Linked DNA regions of Mus musculus. The protein of the gene in region 1 binds, or shares a complex with, the protein of each later gene. Links are inferred from orthologs where the notes say so. Each region holds a gene or a part of one and is shown on either strand. Other genes may lie near its edges.

Region 1 (5,466 bases):
GTCAATATGTTATGAAGACCATATTAGTACCTCAATCTGATATCTTCCTTCTCCCCATCACACACACCACACAAACATGTTGGCTCATGTGTACACTGTACACACATATGTTAAAAAGTGAACTCTGGGTTCTCTGGTACGGTGAGACATGAAGACACAGACATGGCTGTCTTGTAGAAAGGTTATTCACACAGATCCTTCAAAGCAGGAAATGTCTTATAATTCTATAACAGAATATCACAATGGATATAAATTTGTTTCTTGGGCTGGGAAAAAAATGACTCAATCAATAAGATACTGGCCCAGAATAAATACTGAGCTCAGGTCTCCAGCACCCACATAAAAAGCCAAGTGGCTACAGGCATCTATATTCCCAGCACTGGGGATACAAAGACAGACCAATCAACCAAACACAATCAGCAGCAGTCTCCAAAAACAGCATTCTCCAAACATCAGGCTCCAAAAGAGACCCTTTACTGGGGTTTTCCCTGGAAGGAAGGTTGTGGCATGGTAAGTGTGCTGGTGGGTTTAGAATTAAATAATTTGACTTGTTTCAGAATATTCTGGATCATAGACATGCTCCCTAAGCACCTGCCTCCAGAGTGACTTAGAGCAGAGGGGTACTTCTTGGTGATTGCAGTAGATGGAGATGCCAGCTTGGGGTCAGTTAGTACGTATCAAAGAGAATATATGCATTTCCTTGGAGTCATTTATTGTCTCTAGGAATTAGTTAGCTTCAGAGATCTATCTAAGACCCATGCAGTGAATGCCAGAGCTTTAGGGATACAGAAAATAGGGGCTGGGAGATAGTTCTATTAGTAAAGGGCTTTTCATCACACAAGCATGAGGACCTGGCTTTGAAGGTGGCTAACACTCAGCATGGTGGCCCACGTTTGTTCTATCAGCACCAGACAAGCTAAGACAAGCAGGGATCTGGAGTTAGGCAGGCAGCCTAGCCTAATCACCAAATGCCAGCTTCCAGTCAGAGGTCTTGTCTAAGAAACAAAATGGCAGGCTTCTGAGGAACAACACTTGGGGTTAGGAGGCCGCGGTCTGTGGAGTTCCTTGATCTGTGGTTGTCTTTGGCCTGTAGAGTCTGAGTCTGCTTACTACTGTTCTCACTACTTGGCCTTTTCTCCTGGTTTCTTGCCTTTTTTTTTTTTTTTTTTTTTTTTTTTGAGCCATCTTGTCTGTATCCCTGCTGGGCCGCTGGGTCATTTGTAGTGAAGAGTTGAAGAAACAGAGGTTAGGCGTGTGCGGTCCAGCTTCTGTGCACAGCCAGCCAACATCCCTAATGCAACACACGCTGGAGCTCTGATAGCTCTGATGCCCGGCCACATAGTCTTTGCTACTGCTTACTAGGCAGCTCCACACAACATGGCCCCTCCTGATTCTAAACCACTCTACTTATCAACACCTTCTGTCCTTGACCCAACAGGCCATGCAACCCAGAGACATAAGGCAGGACACCCTGCTGAGAGCCTGAGTCCTCTCTGCTAGGCTGCCCAGTTGCTTTCCCTTTGTCTCTCTTCAGCACGTTATTTTTCCACTGCTTGCCCAGCAAGCTCATATTCCAAGTCTTAAAAGTAAACTGCCACTTTAAAAAAAAAAAGCGGCCGCCTAGTGACCTTCCCTGGGAACTGGTTGCTAAGCTGGTGTTTTTTTTTAAACCCTGAGATATGGCTGCAGCTTCCCAGGGAGTAACCTCTCTTACCCCAGCCCACCCTTTCGCTCATTTCTAAAAGGTTCTCTGGCTTGACACAACTGGTCTCTCATCTCATCCCTTCAGCCCAGCAAGTGGAATCTGCAAACTTCGTTTTGTAGAGTGGACGAAGGTAAATCAGTCTTTAACAGAGACAGGCTGCAGTGTCCTGCTTTCCTCTCCTTTCCGTTCCGGCAGAGAAACCAGCCCCTCCCTGGTGCAGTGAGAGTGGAATGAATGCTTTGTAACGTTAGGGACTCTCATCTTGCTAACATTAGAGACCCTTCATCTTGCTTGCAGTTTCACTCTCTCAATGCAAAGTGGGGGCACTGCAGGGACAGCTCTGATTTCAGCTGCTGTCTGGCTTGCAGGGGAAAAGCAAACCGGTTCACAGAGAGCCTCTCTGGTCAGTGTGCTGCTAAGCACTAGCTGCGTGTTGCTTTCGGGCCTTTAGTTTAAACTGCTCCGGGGAAGGGGAGGGCGGGCCGGAGGGAGTACTCTCCGTGTGGCGAGCTCCACTTTTCTTGTTATTGGACAAAGAGCTCTGAACCGCAGGGCTGAGGTCTGCCAAGCTTTCAGAAGTCTACTGGCCATCAGCTCAGCTGTTTTCATTTTAGGTGCTATGAAATGCTAGGTGCTATGAAATGCTAATAAAATCTAATGAGAAATACATGTCTGCTATTGCATTTTATATAACATTTCTGCAAATAAGTGTAACGACAGCATGCTTTGTATAGAGGGGAACTGTATATGGATAGAGAAAATATGTGCATATATGTATACATAGAGATAGAGAGATATGCACATATATAAACATAGATCAATCTGTATATAGATAGTTGGCCTAGAGTTCACTTACAGAGTCATTTATTCAAGTTTTTAGTGAGCATCAATGATGCAGCAGATGAAGAACTCAAGTTTACAGTGTACAAAACCAACTTAGACCAGGTCCAGTGGTGAGACTTTGCTGGGGAAGCAGATGTAGAAACAGATAATGAGATCAGTGACAAAACAGACTTGTAAAAAGGTCTAAAGAGCTTGGCCCACAGCGGGACTCCTGCCATAGAGGTGCTTCCAGCACCCCCTGTGCAGCTGAGCAATCCCATGAGCAGAGCCTGGGTGCTGACCTGGCCTCATCAAGTGAAAGGTGTCCCGTCCATCTGATTAAATGACCACACACAGCTGTGTCACTCACCTGGTACCCTAGAAGCTGGGGCTAGAGTAACTTGCTGCTACATAATTAATCATTAAAAAGGCACAGGATGGCTCCTGAGAGTTCACAACTTTGAGCGGGCCCTCCCACTCGAAAGGAAAAGCCTCGTCTCTGAAGAGAGAAAGTGAGCATGCGTGGAGGGGAGGAGGTTCCAGCAACATTTTAAACAGACGAGGGAAAACAAGTGTCCTGGTCCTGGCTGGAGGAAGGGGAGAAGAGACTTGTGTATGGCTGTCAGGGATGGGTGACAAAAACTAAAGAGAGTAAAGGGATAGCACTCAACACCCTAAGGTTTTCTTATGGTTCTCTTCCATCTCTGAACCTCTGTTTCCCCTCTCCATCCCTTCCTCCCACCTCCCCTCGCAACCATGACCTCTTCATCTGACCATCCTGGTTGGTAAAAAGATACTCTAAAGACACATTTGTGTATCTCCTTCAGCTATCGGACCATTAAAACAATGGACTCTAAGCCATTAAAACAATGGACTCTCAGAGCTGTATTTTCTCAGTATTGAGCGCTGGGAGAAGGAAAAGATGGGCTGCTCGTACCAGCACAAGGGAGGACTTGTCTCCAAAAGACAGTTCTGACAGCTTGTCAATCACCTTGCAGAAGGTACAGGGACAGAGACAATGCCATGTCAGTGATGGAAAGGACCACACTGACCAAAATTGCTTAGCTATGTATCCCTCCTGGTACCTTTTATTCAGACCCAAATTTCATATCAGGACCCTGGAAGACTGACTGTGACATTACTGGGCACCTCTGTTCCACTTCCCAAAGTCATCATGTTGTCTCTGATTTGTCCATTATTTTTCTCTTTCATTGCCCTACTGGGGCACTGGTGGCCAAACCTATCTTGTTAGAGTTGCCAACTGTTCTAACCCAAACTCTGGCAACATCCATAATAATAAAACCATAAACCCTACCAACACAGAGAGCCTGGTCTGTGACAGTCACTTTATTACAATCATTTCAGTACAGAGTCCATCATAAGAATGGGTTACCCATAAGAAATGATGATCACCTAAGGTGGGACATTTGATTATGAATTTATAGAATTGGCTGTGTTGTTTCAAGATCACACACTGGTGAGAAAATGGGGATTTTGAACCTAGGACTATGTTTTTTTTCCCAAAGACCTCACTCTTTAAAGCCATAATTTCTTTGTATAATTAATACACCATCCTTTCGGAGCAGTCTCAATTAAGAAGTACTTTATATAGTATAGCCATTTCCTCTCAGTCCTTCTCTGTATCTTGGAGGTTCATCCCTGGATTCTTGGATATGACTCTTAATGGCTGACTTTAGAGACAGTTCATGTGGTCAGAAAACAGTGTAGATACTTTCCTTTAAAATTAGTTGGTTATCTGCCCTGTGTAAAATAGATTATTGGCCTTGTGTCACCTATATAATTAGGACATTGCTATAGTGTTTGTGGTTTTCCATTGTATTTTCACAGCAAGGACAGTATAGACTAGTGATGGTAATCTTGTTTTAACAAAATTAAAGTGGGGCCATGGAGAGAGAACTTTGGAACCACAAAGCACAAAGGTCAGACTCTGAGAGGGAGATTTCAAACCTGTGGCCTCACATGATTTCGGAAATCTTGGTTTGCTTGGGTCTAAATTGACACTCATCCTACTGAGAGCTGGTGTATCAGGGTGAGCAGAGCGAGTGCACAGGGAGACTGCCAAGCTCCAGCTCCACACACCCAGGGCTTTTATTTTGACACTGTCAAAGAATGTATTAACAAGTGGCCATGGCCAACACTGACGACAGGGGCTTATTAAAGCTGAGCGAGCGGTGTTTATTCATCTTTTTGGAGCCAGCAGTGCTCAGAGGAGAGATCAATTTTGGTGTCATTTGATTTCTCTCAAAACTCATTGGAAGGTAATGATGGGGAAAGAATGGGGAGAGAGGAAACAAGTCCATTACATCTGTCATTTTCCTCCTCGAGTTTTTAATTCCATGTACGACTTGTTTTTAATTTGTGGAGAGGTTGTTTTCCACTGACTAAAATACTTTGCATCCTTTCTTTCCAATTTCTAAGAACCAGAAGTGTTGGTCAGAGCCATTGATGTCCGTAGGCATCTCTGTGTACGTTTCCTGGCCCCTCCCATTCCCGTGCACACCTCTTTGCCTCTGGGTTGGCTTTCAGCCTCTCTCCTCTCCTGCTTGAGTGTTTGGAAGGGTCTGGATGAAGAACAACTGACTGGCAGATCATTTGTTTTTCTTTCACATGTTTACTCCGTAGGAGGGTCAGCAACCCCCTCCCCCAGCACCTGGGGCGAGCTGCTTAAGGGCCCCAGAGCAGCTAAGATTTGGCTCCCATAAGATTAAGAAAAGCTTAAGGTTTGTCAGTCCTGTGTGTAATATTTCTCCTCATCTTCTCTCATTGAATCTTCACAGCATCCTAGCGAGGCTTTGAAGGACTCCAGAATGTGCCCATGAAAAATGGATCCGAATAGCAATTGAGCCATTCATTTGACAAACACACATGAACTGTCCGTCTACTGAGTGGCCTGGGCAAAGGCTCTGGGGATAAACAAT
Region 2 (5,545 bases), on another chromosome or scaffold:
GTGTGAGTATGAGTGTATGTGTGAGTGTGTGTGCATGTGTGTGTTGAGTGTGTGTGTGTGTGTGTGTGTGTGTGTAGTTTCCAGAAGAGGGCACTGGATCTGGAGATACAAGAAGTTGTAAGCAGCACCATACGAGTGCTGGGAACTGAATTTAACAAGAGTATTCTGTGCTCTTTCTTTCAACAGAGGGTTTCTGTGTAGCCTTGGCTGTCCTGCTTTGTAGACCAGGCTGGCCTTGAACTCACAGAGATCTGTCTGCCTCTGCCTCCTGAGTGCTAGGATTAACACCTGGTGCAAGGATTAATCACTAAGCCATTTCTACATTTTTTTTTGTAGAGACATTTTAGTTTTTTCCTTTTATTGAGCTGACTATATAACCTAGCATGACCTTGAATTTCTAAACCTCTTTCCCCCACCTCCCAAATGCTGGGACTATAGGTGTTTCCCCCTATCCAGCTTAAGACTCAATTTTATATGAAAAAGTTATAGTTTCACCATATAGGAGCTTGAGTGGAGCTCAGTAGTAAAGTAATCATTTAGCGTGGTCCATACCCTGTGTTTGATCCCCAGTGCAGCCCACAGGCAGAAGCTTCAATAAGTAGGAGCTGAATATATAAGGACATTCAATGCTATAGATTATTCTTTGTGTTTTAGAATGCCATTCTCTGCGTTGATAATACTATAGGGTCTCAGAAGGGAAGATGGGAGGATGGCTCAGTGGAGGGTGCTTACCTACCTATATGTAAGAGGCCTGGAGCTTATCTCCAATACTGAAAAAAAAAATCAGGAAATTACATGATTACAATGCTGTTGTTTAAGTTACAAACCCTATACAAAACTTGCCAAGCATCTCACCTCAGTCTTTTATAATAAAAGGGGGCGAGGGGGGGGCAATTCTTTTGCCTGGTTTGGGATCTCAGGTTCAGTTAGACACCCCCCTACCCCCCGTTCATTTAGAAGACCTCCAGTCTGTCTTTCATGACCTTTAACTGGCTTAGGAAAGGGAACCCCATGTATTACTTTAGGGAGACAGAATCATTTCTTCTTCTTCTTCTTCTTCTTCTTCTTCTTCTTCCTCCTCCTCCTCCTCCTCCTCCTCCTCCACCTCCTTCCTCTCTCTCTCTGCCAATTCCTTGAAACAAAAATTTAAGAAGTATCTATTTTCAAAGCTTCCCTTTGATATTATTCTAGTATTATCTTTTAATTTAAAAAAATTATAGCACGCATTACCTCGCTGGGTTTTGTTCTTGTTTTGGCTGTTATCAATCTCCCCACCTAGAATATAACCTGGAGGGACTTTATCGAGGTACTCTCAGATTTGGGGCACAGTGCCTGGCATCTGGGAGACATCAAATATTTGTTGAATAGATGAAATCCCTCTGGTCCTGAGCCTTGTCTTTTGGGCTGGTTTAGAGGCACAAAGAAAAAGGAATGGAGGGACCAGAGAGTGCAAGTGGGATGGGAGGTCCATTGACATGGGACTTGATTGTGAACTGGAAAGTGCTGAGAACTTTCCGATTCTCCGATCTGCAGGGATTTCATCCGAAGCCCCAAATCGGTCACATCACCCTAAGAAGAGGTTCTTGGTCTGTAACTGAGCAATGTCCGGGGCCTAACAACTCAGAGCAAGAGTGAAATCGGTGGTGGGTCAGCGTCCCAGCCTAGGCTAAGCGCAAGCAGTTCCAGTCCCCCGCTCCATTCTTCACCCTTTCAGATCCCCTCGGTTCCCGAGGCAGTCACCTCACCCACATCCAATTTTAACCATCCCAAGGCTGCTCATTTCTGCACTCGGCAAATCTCTCATGACACGGAGACAAGTTATTTAGGAAGAAATTAGAGTCATTCTTCGGCAAAGTTTTGCTCTAGGGCGGAAGGGGGAGTCCTCTGACAACCAGGGGCTAGGGGACTTAGCCTGACCCTGGGACAAGCTCGGTGCATCAGCCTCTCCTCGTTCGTCCCCTCGACTCCTAGCGCCCAAGGCAGTGAGTGGGAAGCACAGGAGAAGGGAGGATTTGGTGGTTCTGGCTGCATCCTCTTGGGTCCATCAACGGCTCACGTACCGCGCCTATAGACGTTGGTAGAGGGAGCAGCACTATCGCGAGACTTCCGAAAGCAGCAGCGTGGCGCTTGCGGACGCAGTTACCATGGCAGCCGGGCGGCGCCCGAGCGCGCGGGAAGGACACTTAAGTAGAGAGGTCTGGCCTGCTTGCTCAGGGAGACTTGATGAGTGACCCACCCCAGACTTCCAACCTCAAAACCCACGGCCTCCACTCGAGGCCCCCGAGGCCATGGGTCGGATCTCCGGGCTCGTGCCCTCTCGGTTCCTGACGCTCTTGGCTCATCTGGTGGTTGTCATCACGTTGTTCTGGTCCCGGGTAAGACGCGGACAGGGCGCGCGTGCGCGTGCCCTCCTGGCCCTCCCATTCTCATCTTGGAGTGGACCCAGCTCAGCTCAGTCCACTCACACAGGGTCCGTTCGTTGCTCCGTTCCCCGGCCCCTTCCCAACTTGTCCCCGCAGCCCCATTCCTCTTTTGACATTTCTTTCTTTCTGCCCGGCTCGCCAGGAAAGCAACATCCAGGCTTGCCTGCCTCTCAAATTCACCCCGGAGGAATACGAAAAGCAGGACAACCAGTGAGCTCTTGGGGCGGGGTGAGAGTGCAGGGGTCTTCAACAGAATCCAGAAACCTTGGTCCAAGCCCTTTTCTCTCTGCAGGCTGGTAGCCGCGCTCTGTCTCACCCTGGGCCTCTTTGCAGTGGAGCTGGCTGGCTTCCTCTCAGGAGTCTCCATGTTCAATAGCACCCAGAGCCTCCTCTGTATCCTTTTTATTTGGCCATCGTCCTCAGGTGACTCATCCCAGTTACCACTCTTTCCACCTCTGTAGGCCTTTGGGGCACAAGTGTCTGCTCTACATGGTAAACCGAATCTCTCTCTAGGTGAGAGGTTTTAGACACTGTTGGGGAATTAATAGACTTCAAACATTCGTTAAATCCGGATGTGAGCCAGGTTCTGGCGATCCCTGGATGGGAGTAAAATCATTTTATCCCGTTTGAAGAGGTGGCAGACAAACATCTGTAAATCAGTGTGATTAAACAGTATGCTTGTAGGTGTGTGTAAAATACAAAGCACTATGGGAACTCAGAAGGGACCAAGAAAATAGAGCCCAGGTGTGGTTCTGCAAGCCTTTAATCCTAGTGCACGGGAGGCAGGGGCAGGTGAATTTTTTGGGTTTTTTTAAATCTTATTTTACTTATATATTTAGGTTATCTAAGACAGGGTTTCTCTATGTAGACCTAGGCTGTCCTGGAACTCAGTAGACCAGGCTGGCCTCGAACTCCGAAATCCACCTGCCTCTGCCTCCCAAGTGCTGGATTAAAGGCATGCACCACCACTGCCTGGCTTGTTTTGTTTTGTTTGTTTGTTTGTGTTTTTAAAAAGGTAGCTCTTTACTCTTGAATTGTGGACAAGGAAGACCAGGGCACTGGAGAAATCCCCAGTGTATCAGATCTGTAGGTATTCTTGTGTGGCCTAGGGCATATATGACATTAACCTTCCCAGAAGTGTACAGAGTGTACAGGGAGAGGTCCTATCAAAGCAAACTCAGCTCTGGTCTCTTACACATAACTGTCCATAAATTCAGAAGGCATTGGCTGCCAACTCTGGCGCTTGTCTTAAGGGAAGGGTACAAGCTGAACCCAAGTCCAGGTACCAACGGGGCCCATCACGAACCGATTACTTTCCTTGACCCCCTCTGTATTGTTAAGCCATTGCAGCCCACTGTAGCGCGTCTGTGGCCCTGTCTTTCTTCGTATTCGAGCGATGGGAATGTACCACGTACTGGTACATTTTTACCTTCTGCAGGTGCCCTAGCACCCAATATTTTGGAATGGGGGGGGGTGGTGGAAAATCGATCCCAAATCTGAAGGTTTCCCCCACCTAGACCTTTCCTGCACATGTGAAATTGGTAGAGTTTTGAAGAGTCATACCCACCCTAACCCACCCGCATATAAGGTTTGGAGGTTCAAGTGTTTGGGTTGGAAGGGGCTCTAACTCCCCCCCCTCCCCCGCGGCCCCGTACTTTTCACAGCGCCTTCCCAGCTGTCACTGAAACTGCATTATTCATCGCTGTCTTTGGGCTGAAAAAGAAACCCTTCTGATCACAATCCGGGTGTAGGGACCAAGGCTGGAAAAGTGATGAAGCTTCCTCCCACTGCTGCAAGAAAAAGGCAGAGGCTTCAGTTTTCTCTCGCCCAAGTCCCTTGCTCCTCCCAACTGCGGCTAAGCAGAGGATGGCAGTGTTGGAATAAGATCTCTCAAATCTTGGATTATAATTTTATTAGAGTTTTGTAATAAAATTTATTTTATAACAAGAGCAAGGCGTATACTATTTTTCAGAAGACCATTGGATGGGCCAAGAGGCTGGTATAAATAAAGGCTTTTATCTTGTGGTTAGGGCTAGAAGTAATGCTTCTATTTGGGTTTTTACGCTAGAAGCTAGGCGGAAGTGAGTGGGCGGGGATATGCAAATAACTATCTCACATAGCGCTTCTAATTTGCCGCGTGTGAGGGGAGCATTCTGGGATGGTTTTGTTTCTCCCTTTTTGTGCCGAATGGAGAATAAAATACTTCAAACGACTTGCAAATAGATATTATTCTTGCGTTGCAAGAACTGTAAGTCACTGGGCTCGTGCTAAAGTGACGTATTCTCACCCTTCCTTTAATAGGAAATGTCTCTACTTATTTAGCAATGGGCTCCCTCTGCCTTTTATCGTCAGGAGGTTAATCCTTACCTGTTCCTCCTTTCGGAGGGCAGTAGAAAATGATGATTGGAGCTTGCATGATCTGCTGATTAGCATTTCCATGCAATCAGGACCTGACAACATCCTGGTTGCTCCTATCTGATTCCCTGGCGATCACACTTTTCCAATGTGCTGATTGGTAGACCTTTACAGCCAGACTGTGTGCTGTTTATAATTTGTCCTAAACTGGCCAGTCATAGTTTTAAGGTCTTCACTTCTATGGTAAACAATGCCATCAAGGTGGCTGTTGGTTGTTTGCCCAGCTCCTGGAAAGCACCCATGGCCACTCCTTATGCTTGCCAGGAGGTGCTTTCTGATAATTCCTTAACTATTACCTAAAGCATCTCTTGTCTTCTTCCCCACATTCAATTTAATGATCTCCTTACCATAGGCAAAGCCCTGTTAACAGTACTGAGAAAATAGATGTGATATGACCTATACTCAGCTTTGGCATACAGAGACAAAAAAGTTTTACAGTACTCCCAGACTTATTTAATCCTGTAAACTGTGGTACATGCTTAAAAAAAATAAGTTTCAGAGTCACCAAAATGTTACATATGTCTCAGCTATTGCTGAGAAACTTAAGTACAGCTCTGGGAGAAGCCCACACCCACACCCTTGCATTTGTCTTACTGAACTTGGAAAACATTTCTTTTTCCAGGAGCCTTACTGACAGGTTGCCAAACCGAACTCTTACTTAAATTAAACAGTGTGAACTTGCAATTAAGTAGGTTATATTTACACTG

What was found.
Region 2: Cc2d2a (region 1) and Tmem107 share a complex: the UniProt entries of both Homo sapiens proteins name them as parts of the tectonic-like complex. The link is inferred for Mus musculus from reciprocal best matches to the Homo sapiens genes CC2D2A and TMEM107.

What each region holds. Positions count from the first base shown.
Region 1 is NC_000071.6:43,660,725-43,666,190, forward strand, and holds the start of Cc2d2a (coiled-coil and C2 domain-containing protein 2A), read left to right. Parts: upstream 1-1,654; 5' UTR 1,655-1,835; intron 1,836-4,651; exon of another isoform or gene 4,652-4,806; intron 4,807-5,325; 5' UTR 5,326-5,466. UniProt on the Homo sapiens protein: Component of the tectonic-like complex, a complex localized at the transition zone of primary cilia and acting as a barrier that prevents diffusion of transmembrane proteins between the cilia and plasma membranes.
Region 2 is NC_000077.6:69,068,659-69,074,203, forward strand, and holds Tmem107 (transmembrane protein 107), read left to right. Parts: upstream 1-2,150; 5' UTR 2,151-2,288; coding exon 2,289-2,375; intron 2,376-2,565; coding exon 2,566-2,633; intron 2,634-2,715; coding exon 2,716-2,816; intron 2,817-3,764; coding exon 3,765-3,861; coding exon of another isoform or gene 3,862-3,940; exon of another isoform or gene 3,941-4,087; coding exon 4,088-4,157; 3' UTR 4,158-4,635; downstream 4,636-5,545. UniProt on the Homo sapiens protein: Plays a role in cilia formation and embryonic patterning. Requires for normal Sonic hedgehog (Shh) signaling in the neural tube and acts in combination with GLI2 and GLI3 to pattern ventral and intermediate neuronal cell types.